Schizosaccharomyces pombe: one gene and its partners. Changing the gene in region 3 together with the main gene of any one other region gives a genetic interaction. Each region holds a gene or a part of one and is shown on either strand. Other genes may lie near its edges.

Region 1 (3,789 bases), on a different chromosome or scaffold from region 3:
TATTTGACGCGTTACTTGACTGACAGAGATATCATATTGTTGGGTTGTTGTTTAAACATCGTATGCATGGTTATTCATATAACTATTCACTATACAGGCAAGGAATTCGTACAACCTTACTTTATTATTTACACCCTTGTTTTTTTTGGATCTTCTATTGCTAATTCCCCTTCGGTCTCTTTATTGACAAAGGTTTTACATCCTAAGTACCACCTGATAGGTAACGTCGCTGTGCAAATATCAATTTCCTTATCCGACACAGTTGGTGCTATCTTTGGCGGTGCATTTCGCTCGTTCTCACCTGTTGTTTTTTTTGCGGTATGCTTAATATTAAACGTTATGTCTGTGCTTGCACTATTGATTATATGGAAGAAACTTAAGGTCAAGTTGCGCCTTGCATAATTCACTGGTAACTCAATGGTTAGGTTGCTCTCTATTTTTTTTTTTTTTTTTAATTTTTTTACAAGGGGGGGTTGATTTGTTGTTTATTTATAAATTTGTAAGTTGTGTTCCTTACAAATAAATCTAATACCAAATGGCTAATTAAATTGAAATAATGTTGCTAAATCTTTAATTATAATGAAATTAATTGATGAAATATACGTTAAAAGCCAAATGAGTTCGAATTTTTTATCTTAAATACTTTTTATTTTTTATCTATAGTGTGCCCATAGGTGCCTGCCCTTCAATTAACACATAGAGAGGTATGCCATTATGATCAATTAGACAAACAACCTATAAAAATCATCTACAGGAAAACATCAAAGGTACTTTCGTTAATAAAACATCTAAAAATTAAGAATATAATTATTGGTTCTTTTTTTCCTTCAAAGATGGAATGGCTCCCAGTTCTATAGCTAGCTGCTCATTTGACTGTAGAACAGGGTCATTTGTTGTCCATGTATATATTATTTGTCGAGTATGATTCTTTGAAGTTCGTACGGGTTGTGCAGATAGATAGCGGACATAAAGAAACGTATCTGCTACTAGAACCAAGATTGCTGAAAACGCACATAGCGCAATTTTCTAAATAATATTAAGTCAATACAAAGGTCTCCCAGGAACAAAACGAAAGTTTTTAATTCATACCTTTTCAATAGATAAAGATGAAGTGCAGTACCAAACAGCGGTCACCGTTCCTACTACTGTGAAGAGTATATTGATTATAGCGCTGATTTGGTTTTTCATTAGTCGTAACTCTGATTTTTTTTCTCTCTCAGGGTCCATGGATACGCCTGCCATTGATGGAAGCAGAGGAATACCATCATATAGCTCTTTCTCCTTTAAGATAGAAGTAGTTGTATTGTCTTGAGTATGGCTGTTTTCATCAATTTCGCCCAAGAAGACACTGTCGCTCGGCACAATCTGTACACCTCGAAGAAATTCCAAAAAATTGATATTCCTGTTATGTAATCGTAATTCCTTTAACATTTTTACCAGCTCAAATCCATCGACAGTTAATTTATTACACCGTAAGTCTGTCTGCTGTTTTTCGGAGAGCCTGTACAGCATTTTTGCAATAATGAGTCAATTTGACAATTTCGAAGGTATTAAAAAAGTAGAAGGGTAAGTAATAATGCTATGAAGTCTAGAAAGCAATCAAAAACGATTCATATAGTCCGAATTGCGTGAAACAGGATCAATCTAGGTTGGTTGACGATATTTGCTAAATTTCTATTGAGTTTTCTAAATGAAATAATTAAACCAATATTTTAATGTCTAATACTACGTTTTATATTGACCAACAAACAAACATGGAGACAGTGGTACATCCAAGTATTTGCAAAAGTCAAAGTTACGCAACGTAATACATAGCGTCCTATAAGAGGCAAAAAATGAAAATATGAAAGTTCCTCAACTTTTTTTGAAATCACCGTTTTGGTAATTAGCATCATAATTTTATTCTTCACCCTCGCTAACACTGTGCTAGGCCAAGCAGAATTGTAGACTTCCTCGTTCAGTGAGGTATAGAAGAATGGTACACGCTACTGTGATATTATATCTTTCTATGAAGTGACATAAATCTTGGTAACTGAACATTCAGTTTAATTTAGCGCCGCAATTGCTCTCGGGTATTTCATACAAACGATATTCAAAGATTATTTATTGGAATTTCAATATAATATTAAGAAGTAAATGCTACTAGCTTTGTTGGCTCTATGAGTTTTATATAACTTACGCAATTATTACTTGCGTCTATGGTTTCAAAATGTGTCCCAGTATGCTCATTCAGCGCTTGGAAAGCTAAAGGTTCAAGAATTTTTATGACTTTGGGTTGAATACTGAGATACTTCATGTTCAAAAATACCAGCGTTTCAACGGCGTTCAATTCTTCCATGTTGCACCATCCAAAGTACTTTTTTTTGCGAATTTATTTACGACAAACTTGGCTTACGTAAACTTTGGGGTAGCAAAATTCATATCGCCGCAGAACAGTTTGCAAGAACAAATATAAACCTAAAGAGGTACGGGTGAACAAATAGGTATTCGAATTAGGAAATGAAAAGTTCGAAGCTGAAGGAAGCTTAATTACGAAGACAGAATCAAATAAAGATAACTTCCTCCAGTATAGTTTTCATTTTTCCGAACGTCCATATCGTCTTTGCCTCTGCACCATTAAATTCGAATTTTTTCAACGATTTTCAAAGCTCACTATACCATATAACGTAATCTGAAGAAAGAAAGTTCCACTGATGCATGGACGCTATTTAGGTTTTTGCCCTTTATCTTTCATCTGATCTTACAAAGTCGCTTGAACCACGCTATCCTATATACCGAAGCAAAGGCCAACGAAAACAACTACGTTAATACCTGCTATATTGACTAAAAGAATGATATTTCACTTGGCAGCATTCGTTAGCTTTAGCTAGGAAATTTACGATTATTTAAAAAACCCATTCTTGTAATGCTCTTCTCATTTATTAATCTCATCATTTTCACTTCCAAAGATATAACGACTGAGGCGTAAAGCTACGCTACCACTTCCTATCAGTAAATTGTGCGACTTTACTATACGTTCTTCAAACTTCGTTATTTCCCCACCAAAAGACTTACTTGCAGAAAATTTTCTCTTTGTCACTGCTACACCCCGTTTACCACTACTCCGTTCTCCTTGGTCGTTTACTTCATTTTTGTCGAAGTAATCACAGCTATTGATTGCAATTTCAATTTATAAGAAACTGCAATAAGAGCTTAGAAGGAGCCTAATCCGTTTTCCTTTTTTTTTTTAATCTCCGCTAAATCCCTGCAGGTTTGAACTAATCAGTTTTCAGGAAGTAATTTAGAAAAGGTTCTACTCTCCTCCTAGAAACGCATATGTGTCCTATTCAATTAACCAATACTATTCCAGTGACATCTATGGCTTACAATCACTTCAGCATTCCTAAAAACATCGAGGAAAAAGAGAACTCTTTTTTTGACGTAACGTTTCAAGACGAACCCGACGAAACCACTTCTACTGCTACTGGCATTGCTAAAGTTTCCATACCTACTCCAAAGCCCTCTACACCTCTATCGACTCTTACTAACGGTTCTACTATTCAACAGTCCATGACCAACCAACCCGAACCAACGTCTCAAGTGCCTCCCATCTCTGCCAAGCCACCGATGGATGATGCCACCTATGCTACTCAACAACTTACCTTGAGAGCCTTACTTTCTACTCGTGAAGCTGGTATCATTATTGGTAAAGCTGGAAAAAACGTTGCCGAACTCAGAAGCACTACAAATGTCAAGGCCGGCGTTACCAAGGCTGTTCCTAATGTTCATGATCGTGTTTTAACTATTAGT
Region 2 (4,313 bases), on a different chromosome or scaffold from region 3:
TCCAAGATATACCTATTTCTACTTCTTCTTCTCTTTCTACATATCGCTCGCTCGTCCTCTCCCTTCCTCCTCTTAACCCTTTACTTGCTCCCAATCCTTTTTATCTTTTGGGTTTCCTGTTTAAACGTTGGGTAAAGTATAAGATTGGATCTTATTTTCATCGTCGTTTTGTTGGATCGTATGAAAAATTTTACCTTGGTTCGTCGCTCAGTCCTTGCTCTGATCGTTTGGTAAAAATCAAAAATCGTTAGACTTGATTTCGTTGACGTTTAGTGCGTTTAATTCTCTTTCTTAGATTTTTTCCTCCATCCTTCATCTCGTCAACAGTTCTCTCTGTTGTCTCTCCACCGCTATACGTAGCTTTTAAAAGTCGTTTGTTTCATTACCTGCGCCCATCTTTTCTTTTCTAAACTTTAACTCAAAGTGAATAAATAGGAAGAACTAGTCTTTTTTCCTTCCATAAAAGAGCACCAGATATATCGTTGAATCGCCGTGCTTTTTCTATTTGCTTCATTTTTTTATCCCGTACGATGCAAAATAGTTAATTTCTTCAACTTTTCTCAACTTTTGTTTCACCACTTCTTTCTCTCAATTGGGTTAGATTTTTCTCCTTTTACATTTTTTTTATACCTCCCTCTTTTTTTTTCTTGTTTCCTTTTCGTTGATATTTTCATATTTTCGGAATTCTCCTTTTCTAGTTATCCTATTTCTCGTTTCATCATTTTCTTTGTCTTTTCTCAAAAAGGTGTACTCTTGGGTTTCTTTCCACAGTGTAGTATCGCTTTTTTTGAACCTTTGAAGAGCTCATATATTCCTTTCCCTTGAGTTTTTCGGATTAAGTTTTGAATTTTTTTCCCATTTTCTTCATTGCTTTACCGTTTGTTTTCACTTCACTTTGGGGTCTTGGTGGTTACTTGTCTATTGTTTTTTTTGTGGGGTTCTGCATTCTGAATAGTTCTGTTTCTTTTTTTCTGAACTCATCTGTCTAAGTATTCACCATTCATTTGGTTTATTTACAGACGTGTGCTCTGTAATTTTCATCCTTAGTTGACCTTACGTTTTTGCTAGTTTGTTGCATCAACGTGCTTTTGGTTCCCCCCTTTAGCTTTGAATACGCTTCTGACTTTTAAATTGGGTTTTCTGTTTTGTAGGAAAATTATTCCATTGTCATTACATTTCAATTAGCCTCTACCTCTTTTCGTTCCTCGATCTCCTACTTGTATACTTTTCTGCACTTTGACAAACTGCAACTTATAATATTTCTTATACCCTCTATCTTATATTTTTGTTCAGTCTGGTTACTGTTTTCGTGCGTGTGCCCTACCTTTTTGCATTTTCTACTAAATACGAAATAATTTCTTAAATAGTGTTGCTTTTTGCAATCTTGCACTGTGCACTCACAAGCAGTATTTTTATTTTCCTCTTAAAATCGCTTGACCTTTGAAGTGACGATTCATTAATCCGTTAATTTTTAAGGATTCCCCCTTTTTATTCTCATATTTGCATAGTACTGATTCAAACCCATTCTTTGAATTGGATACTCCTCATCCCCTCTAAAACTCTTCCATCTTTATTTTCTGCAGAAAGTTTGAATTGAAAAACTTTTTTCATCTCAGACTTGATTTGAATCTTCTCTTGTTTCCTTCTATATTTTACTAATTTTATTGCCAAATTTTGCGTTAATTCTTTCCTTTTTAGAACCCTGGATTTTCCGTAATTTTGATATTTCCTATCCATTCATTATTTTGCTTTCGGCCTTCAAAACTTGTGCTATCCAATATTTGTATTTTATTTAAGAAGTCTGAATTTTTTTTTACTTTTTTACTTTTTTTTTTAATCATCTCTGCTTCTTTTTTAAGGCCAAATATTCTTAATACAAAACATTCATCTAAAAAACCACGATGAATTTTTCAAACGGTTCAAAATCGTCTACTTTTACAATTGCTCCTTCGGGTTCATGTATTGCTTTACCTCCTCAGCGGGGTGTAGCAACGAGTAAGTATGCTGTTCATGCTTCTTGCCTCCAAGAATATCTCGACAAGGAAGCTTGGAAGGATGACACATTGATCATCGACCTTCGTCCCGTATCCGAGTTTTCCAAATCTAGAATTAAGGGCTCCGTCAATCTTTCTTTACCTGCAACCTTAATTAAGCGTCCTGCCTTTTCGGTCGCGCGTATCATCAGCAATCTTCACGACGTCGACGACAAGAGAGATTTTCAAAACTGGCAAGAGTTTTCATCCATTCTTGTTTGTGTTCCTGCTTGGATTGCTAACTACGTAACGAACGCTGAGGTAATTGGTGAAAAATTTAGAAAAGAATCCTATTCTGGTGACTTCGGTATTTTAGATTTAGACTATTCGAAAGTCTCGGGCAAGTATCCATCTGTGATTGACAACTCTCCTGTAAAAAGTAAATTAGGTGCTTTGCCTAGCGCTCGCCCCAGATTGTCTTACTCTGCTGCTCAAACTGCTCCTATCTCTTTGTCCAGCGAAGGCTCCGATTACTTCTCTCGTCCTCCTCCCACTCCTAATGTTGCCGGTTTGTCTTTAAATAACTTTTTCTGTCCTCTACCTGAGAACAAGGACAACAAATCTTCTCCATTTGGCAGTGCTACAGTCCAGACACCCTGCTTACACAGTGTGCCCGATGCTTTTACCAATCCAGATGTTGCGACCCTCTACCAGAAGTTCTTGCGCCTGCAATCATTGGAGCATCAACGTCTAGTTTCTTGTTCGGATCGTAATTCTCAGTGGAGTACCGTTGATTCATTGAGTAATACATCGTATAAGAAAAACAGATATACCGACATTGTTCCTTACAATTGTACTCGTGTGCATTTGAAAAGAACTAGCCCTTCAGAGCTCGATTATATCAATGCTTCCTTTATCAAAACTGAAACTTCAAATTACATCGCTTGCCAAGGTTCTATTTCTCGTTCTATTAGCGATTTCTGGCACATGGTATGGGACAATGTGGAGAATATAGGCACTATTGTTATGCTTGGTTCATTGTTCGAGGCTGGCCGCGAAATGTGTACTGCATATTGGCCAAGTAATGGTATTGGAGATAAACAAGTGTATGGAGATTACTGTGTCAAACAAATTTCGGAGGAAAATGTCGATAATTCTCGATTCATTTTGCGAAAGTTTGAAATTCAGAATGCCAATTTTCCTTCAGTTAAAAAAGTACATCACTATCAATATCCTAATTGGTCTGATTGTAATTCTCCTGAAAACGTGAAATCTATGGTTGAGTTCTTAAAATATGTGAACAACTCTCACGGATCAGGAAATACTATTGTGCACTGCTCTGCCGGTGTTGGTCGGACAGGAACCTTTATTGTACTAGATACGATCCTACGCTTCCCAGAAAGCAAACTTTCTGGTTTCAATCCTTCTGTCGCCGATTCTTCAGACGTCGTTTTCCAGTTGGTTGATCATATCCGAAAGCAGCGGATGAAGATGGTTCAAACCTTCACACAATTTAAATATGTGTATGACTTGATCGATTCTTTGCAAAAATCTCAAGTTCATTTCCCGGTTTTAACATGAAATTTTTGACTGGATTTTTCTTGGCAATATATATTCGTGTTTTAATCGATTCCTTTATTTCTTGTACTTGTAAAGTGTCTTTTTTTTTACATTTGCATTTGAATTTACTGTCAATGTTTGTGAAATTCAGTTGCTTTAATCACGTTGTCTTTTATTTCAAAAAGTATATTTGAGAACTAGGCTTTTTAATGATATCTTTTTTTCTCTTAAATTTTCTTTTTAGAACTTTGTAAACCTATTTTTTGTACAAGATAAAGTCATCAAACTGATAATAACCTTGTATTATTTTCAGATGCTTTTTAAAATTTATTACTCGATTTCTTTAGGCAGAAATATAGAGTTTAAGCGAAGTGGTCGTGATCAAGAGCAATAGAATTCTTTCTTCACTGATTAAAGGTGAGACGATTCATTAAATATACATTCATTTGAACTATCGTTTGTATGTTTTTAAGTAAGACAAACTTGCAGGAACAAAGATTTTTTATAATACACATTAAACGTAACTCAATATAAATAAATTATTATGGCAATCATTAGGATGCAGATATTCCAATAGTACCTAGAATGCTTTTATATTCACTTTGTCTTTATGCGGTTCATAAGCTGACTCCATTTTTGTAAAGCCATCATATGGTCCTCGTCTAAAACGGCCAAGTTAACTTTAGTTTCAGCAAGCTGCTTTTCTTTTCTAAAGATTTCATCTTCGAGAGACTGACTTTCAACCATAATTTCTAAATTCTCAGCAATGATTGCTTCCAT
Region 3 (4,332 bases):
AAGCAGAAACAAAAGATGGGATTTGAGAGATAGTCCTGAACAGGTTTTCGATTTTTTCATTCGGTGCAAAAGCAAGAAAATAGCAGCCAAATGGGCCATATCACCTAATGATTAGCTTTACTTTGACGAAATTCATCATACCCAGTGCACTGAAAAATGTCATGATTAATTAATAAAAGTAAGGAGTGCCTATTTCAACGCGCCAGGTATTAGGAAAAAGAATTTGGTAGTGGTGTTGACAATAGGCTTAACTGCGCAGAGATATAATTGGGGTATGCAAGTGGGGGCCAAATGTTTAATAAATGCAACAAAAAAACTGTAATTTATATTCGTACTTTAGAATGCGCTGAATCAAGATTCTCAAACGATCAAATCTTTTTATTTAAAACAAGGAGTTTAGCTTGCATGAAAATTATAGAAATGGGCTTTAAAGTGACAAACTTGATGCCATAGTACTTCAAATATTACATTATGAAGCTGGACTTGACCTACTACTAATAGGACAGCAAAATAAAAACCACTTGACCCTACTTTTGGTACTGTTTTAAAATATATACTGCATTAAAGCTGCAATGAAAATTCACTTGTATATTCGGAGTAAGTTCCTAGAAAGGTTGTATTATAAAGCCGATTAGTTTAAAGGGATTGAGAGGGAACGTAATCTTAAATAGCTAAAGTTCATAAAATAAAAAATAATAAAAAATTGCTGAACCTTTTTGAGAAAATTATGTAAAAAAGATATGATAAAATTTTCTAACCGACGTTTTAAACAAAAAGAATTATAAAAAAGTGTAGTCCCCAGTTTTAGCTCAAATCCTTGAGTTGTTTATTGAAGAATACACAAAACAATTAAGGTTTTTATTGGTTAATTTTTTTTGGGAGGAAGGAATCCAGATGACCTAGGAGCGTCGTGTGTAAAACAGTAAGTATGCCACACGATCGCCGTGACCAAGTTTACTAAGACTCGGATCAGCGGAAAGTTCGGAGTTTTCAACATCATGAATAGGTACGCGGTGAATGTGTGTATCATCAATCCGAAACCAGCCGCTTTTATCAAGTTGCTGAACATCGACAGTATAATGACCACCAGACGCAGAAGTACCGTGATGATAAACCACTGCATTCAAATCATATTCCGGATGTATGGAACCACGAACAGAAGGGCTGAAAACGTTTTGTGGAATACTCAAGCGAGCAGGATAAGCAATAGGCTTATAATTTTTCTGTGTACCGCCAGATGCTTCGTAAAAGAATCGTTTAAGGTGAAGAATCAAGACAGGAGGAAGTGACTCTATATACATTTGCTTGGTAGCAGTAACATTTCCTTTCGACGAATGCCATTCCGGTAAAATTTCAGGGGCGGTCATATGCTCCAACGCATCGATAACTGAATGTATATCTTCTGCTTGAATGTCGAGTTGCAGAGGTTGAAACGGTTCTAACAAAACAGAATCTCTTGCACTCGGAACCCTTAAGGTAGAGCGCAGCTGACCACCAAAAATTTGGCTTATAGGAGACCTTTCAACAGTAGCAGATCTAGCAATTACTGGCTTTTTATTTTTACCAACTTCGGTCCAGCCACTAGCTTCTACAGAAGATTGATCATCAAAACTATCTAAACCAGACTTGATACCATTTGAAATTTTGATATCAGATTTTGGATTTCTTTCGTCATTTTTTAATAAATAATGTCTACGTTCACGCACGAATTCTTCATGTAATTCGTCAAGAAACAAATTCAAAAACTCCTCAGCATCCTCCTGTTCGCCGGTCTGCAACATTTCAAATCGAGGATTCCCCTTAGTAGCTGAATATACCACTTCTGGCAAAATAGAATCTCCTTGTAAATCAAATTTCTCAGAATATTCTCTAAAATCCCTAGAAAGCATTGTCAACGATTCAATAAGAGGTGTTGTACGTTCAAAATTATACGGAACCATCCGGTTAATTTGCTTAAGTAAATTATAAAATGGAACACAATACATTAGTGCCTGTAAAATAGAGTTCATAAAACATATATTTCCGGTATTTATAAAACCCCGAGGCTGTATAGGACGGGGTGCATCGAGGGATGGAGAATATGTTTCGATCAATTCACCAAGGGATGAATTGAAACTTTTTTTCTCAGACCTGTCAGACGGTACCGGAACAGAATGTGATTTTTTAACAGGAGAGTCTCCTTGAACATGCTTTTTCGCAATTGCAGACCACGATTTAGGCGATTTTTCAGACTCTTTCGTCTTTGATGTGACCAGAGGCATTTGCACCGAAACCGACCAATCTAAATTCTTAGGCGAACGCCTTTTTCTAGCCTTTCGATGAGGAAATTCATGTTCAGAGCATGAGTACCATGGTAGCTAAACGTTAGTATAATCACAATTTTAATAAAACATACCAGTGAATTGATAATAAATTGATTTCGTGACGAATCACTTTCCAAAGACGCGCTGTCCGTTGCAGAGGTCAAATCTCGCATGGAAATACGCACACTCTAGCAAGATTGAACTCTTGTTTACTAATTTGATGGTTGGCTGTCGTTCGCTTTGCTCTTCAAAAGACTGTCCAAAACTTTTTTTAATATACACTATACCTCGTTAATTCTTCGTATTCCACCAAGTGTATTATGGTGATATTCCACTGTAAACACTTGACCGCCTAACTCAAATTCCTAATTATTTTTAGTTGTTCTTTTTTATTATTAATTATTGAATGTCCATGCCCATCTTTAGTTATTTTTAGAGAATACGGTATATTTACATATCTAAGTACCACTATATGTATCTTAAACCACAAAAGTGATACGAAAAGAGAAAAGTAAATAGTAAATTTTAAAATTCGATATTCTGCTGTTGTGTGAACTATATATAGGTCTTGAATATATATTGTCACTCATTTTACGCCGCAGCAAATTCAATCGTTAACCAAGTCTTAATGTGATCATAATTGAAATGATTAATTGTCAAGGAGGTGAAGTAAGATGAACGAGTAAATTAAGTGACTTTTTTAAGTAAGCTGAGCAGTAAAGTACGTAGCAAATTTTAAAAAAGATAAATATAACAATAGTCGTGAATTTTTAATAATGTTAACTATGCTGTTGCTATGCGGTATATCTTTTTGTGTTTCAGCAATGCAGTTTGAATATCTGTTTAACGATACATAGAACTGCGGCAATTTTCTCTTGCGATCTACAATATAGCGGGATGCAGTATATTTTTAACTGACAATGTTTATAGGAAGCTATTAGTATCGATCATCGATACAGCTAGGAACTGTACCTCGTTCCTCAGTTCAACTGTAGCTCTATTAATAATATTTCTATAAGTTGCTATCAACGTTGCATCTATGTAGATAGACGGATAGTTTATCCTCGTGTATCAATAAACGGATCTTAAGTATTTAAACATATGGCATATAGTGATACGCAACATAGTATGTCATAGCGTAGTGTAGTATTGCTTGAAAAAATTTAATGTTCTTTATCTTTCGTAAAAGTTTTTAACAAAACTCAGCGATGTGAATAGTGGAGGTTGGACTGAAAGAATGCCAGTGCCAAAATTTTTCCTCAGCCCAAATAAACGTTTTTGGACTTCATCACATATTTTCCATAAAAGATGGGAAGAAAACAGAAGTCTAAGCAAGGAATTCCCCCAACTTTAGAGGAAAATCATAATTCTTCTCATAAAGTGACAGAAAATGCAAAAAAGAGAAAGCATTCAAAAGAAAAACCACAAAATTCTCGGAAACGCCAATTAGCAGAAGAAAAGAAATCTTTGTTTGAAAATTCGGATTCTGAGAATGAAAAAGATCTTATTGATGCAGACGAATTTGAAGAGGCTGAAACTTTATCAGACTTGGAACATGACGAGGAACCCCAAACATTTGCTGACGAGTTTATCGATGATGAGGCTAAAGAATGTGAAGGGGAGGAAGAAGATTCTGTTTTTGATTCGGATGAAGAGCATGAGGTTAAGCCTATGTTTAGCGATGATTCTGGAGATGAAGAGGATTTGGAACTTGCGAATATGGAAGCCATGTCTCGCAAACTTGATGAGGAAGCGGAATTAGAGGAAAAAGAAGCCGAGGAAGAATTGCATACCAACATACATCCTGAGGCTCCTACTGTTCTTCCACCTATTGATGGTTTTACCGATAGCCAACCAATATCTACTCTTCCACAGGATTTGAGCCAAATTCAATTGCGGATACAGGAAATAGTCCGTGTTTTGAATGATTTTAAAAATTTGTGTGAACCTGGACGCAATCGTTCTGAATATGTTGATCAACTCTTAAATGATATATGTGCGTATTACGGTTATTCTCGCTTTCTTGCTG

Evidence for each region. Genes that interact genetically often act in the same process or in processes that back each other up.
Region 1: mutations in ubp3 (region 3) and vph2 together harm fitness less than expected from each alone (positive genetic interaction), as found in Schizosaccharomyces pombe (2 studies listed by BioGRID).
Region 2: of ubp3 (region 3) and pyp1, changing one enhances a phenotype caused by changing the other (phenotypic enhancement), as found in Schizosaccharomyces pombe (2 studies listed by BioGRID, with this or other methods).

Annotation. Positions count from the first base shown.
Region 1 is NC_003421.2:66,254-70,042, reverse strand, and holds vph2 (V-ATPase assembly protein), read right to left. Parts: upstream 1,792-3,789; 5' UTR 1,513-1,791; coding exon 1,090-1,512; intron 1,027-1,089; coding exon 808-1,026; 3' UTR 564-807; downstream 1-563. Other genes in the region: SPOM_SPCC757.11C (transporter), read left to right, coding at 1-402; RNA-binding protein Rnc1, read left to right, coding at 3,358-3,789. UniProt on the Schizosaccharomyces pombe protein: Required for vacuolar ATPase assembly.
Region 2 is NC_003424.3:5,159,611-5,163,923, forward strand, and holds pyp1 (protein tyrosine phosphatase Pyp1), read left to right. Parts: upstream 1-1,901; coding exon 1,902-3,554; 3' UTR 3,555-3,750; downstream 3,751-4,313. Other genes in the region: GTPase-activating protein Gyp51, read right to left, coding at 4,131-4,313. UniProt on the Schizosaccharomyces pombe protein: Plays a role in inhibiting the onset of mitosis. Dephosphorylates sty1/spc1 and wis1/spc2/sty2.
Region 3 is NC_003423.3:3,675,857-3,680,188, reverse strand, and holds ubp3 (ubiquitin hydrolase Ubp3), read right to left. Parts: upstream 2,541-4,332; 5' UTR 2,477-2,540; coding exon 2,396-2,476; intron 2,358-2,395; coding exon 900-2,357; 3' UTR 528-899; downstream 1-527. Other genes in the region: erd2 (HDEL receptor), read right to left, coding at 1-104, 142-163; RNA methyltransferase Nop2, read left to right, coding at 3,612-4,332.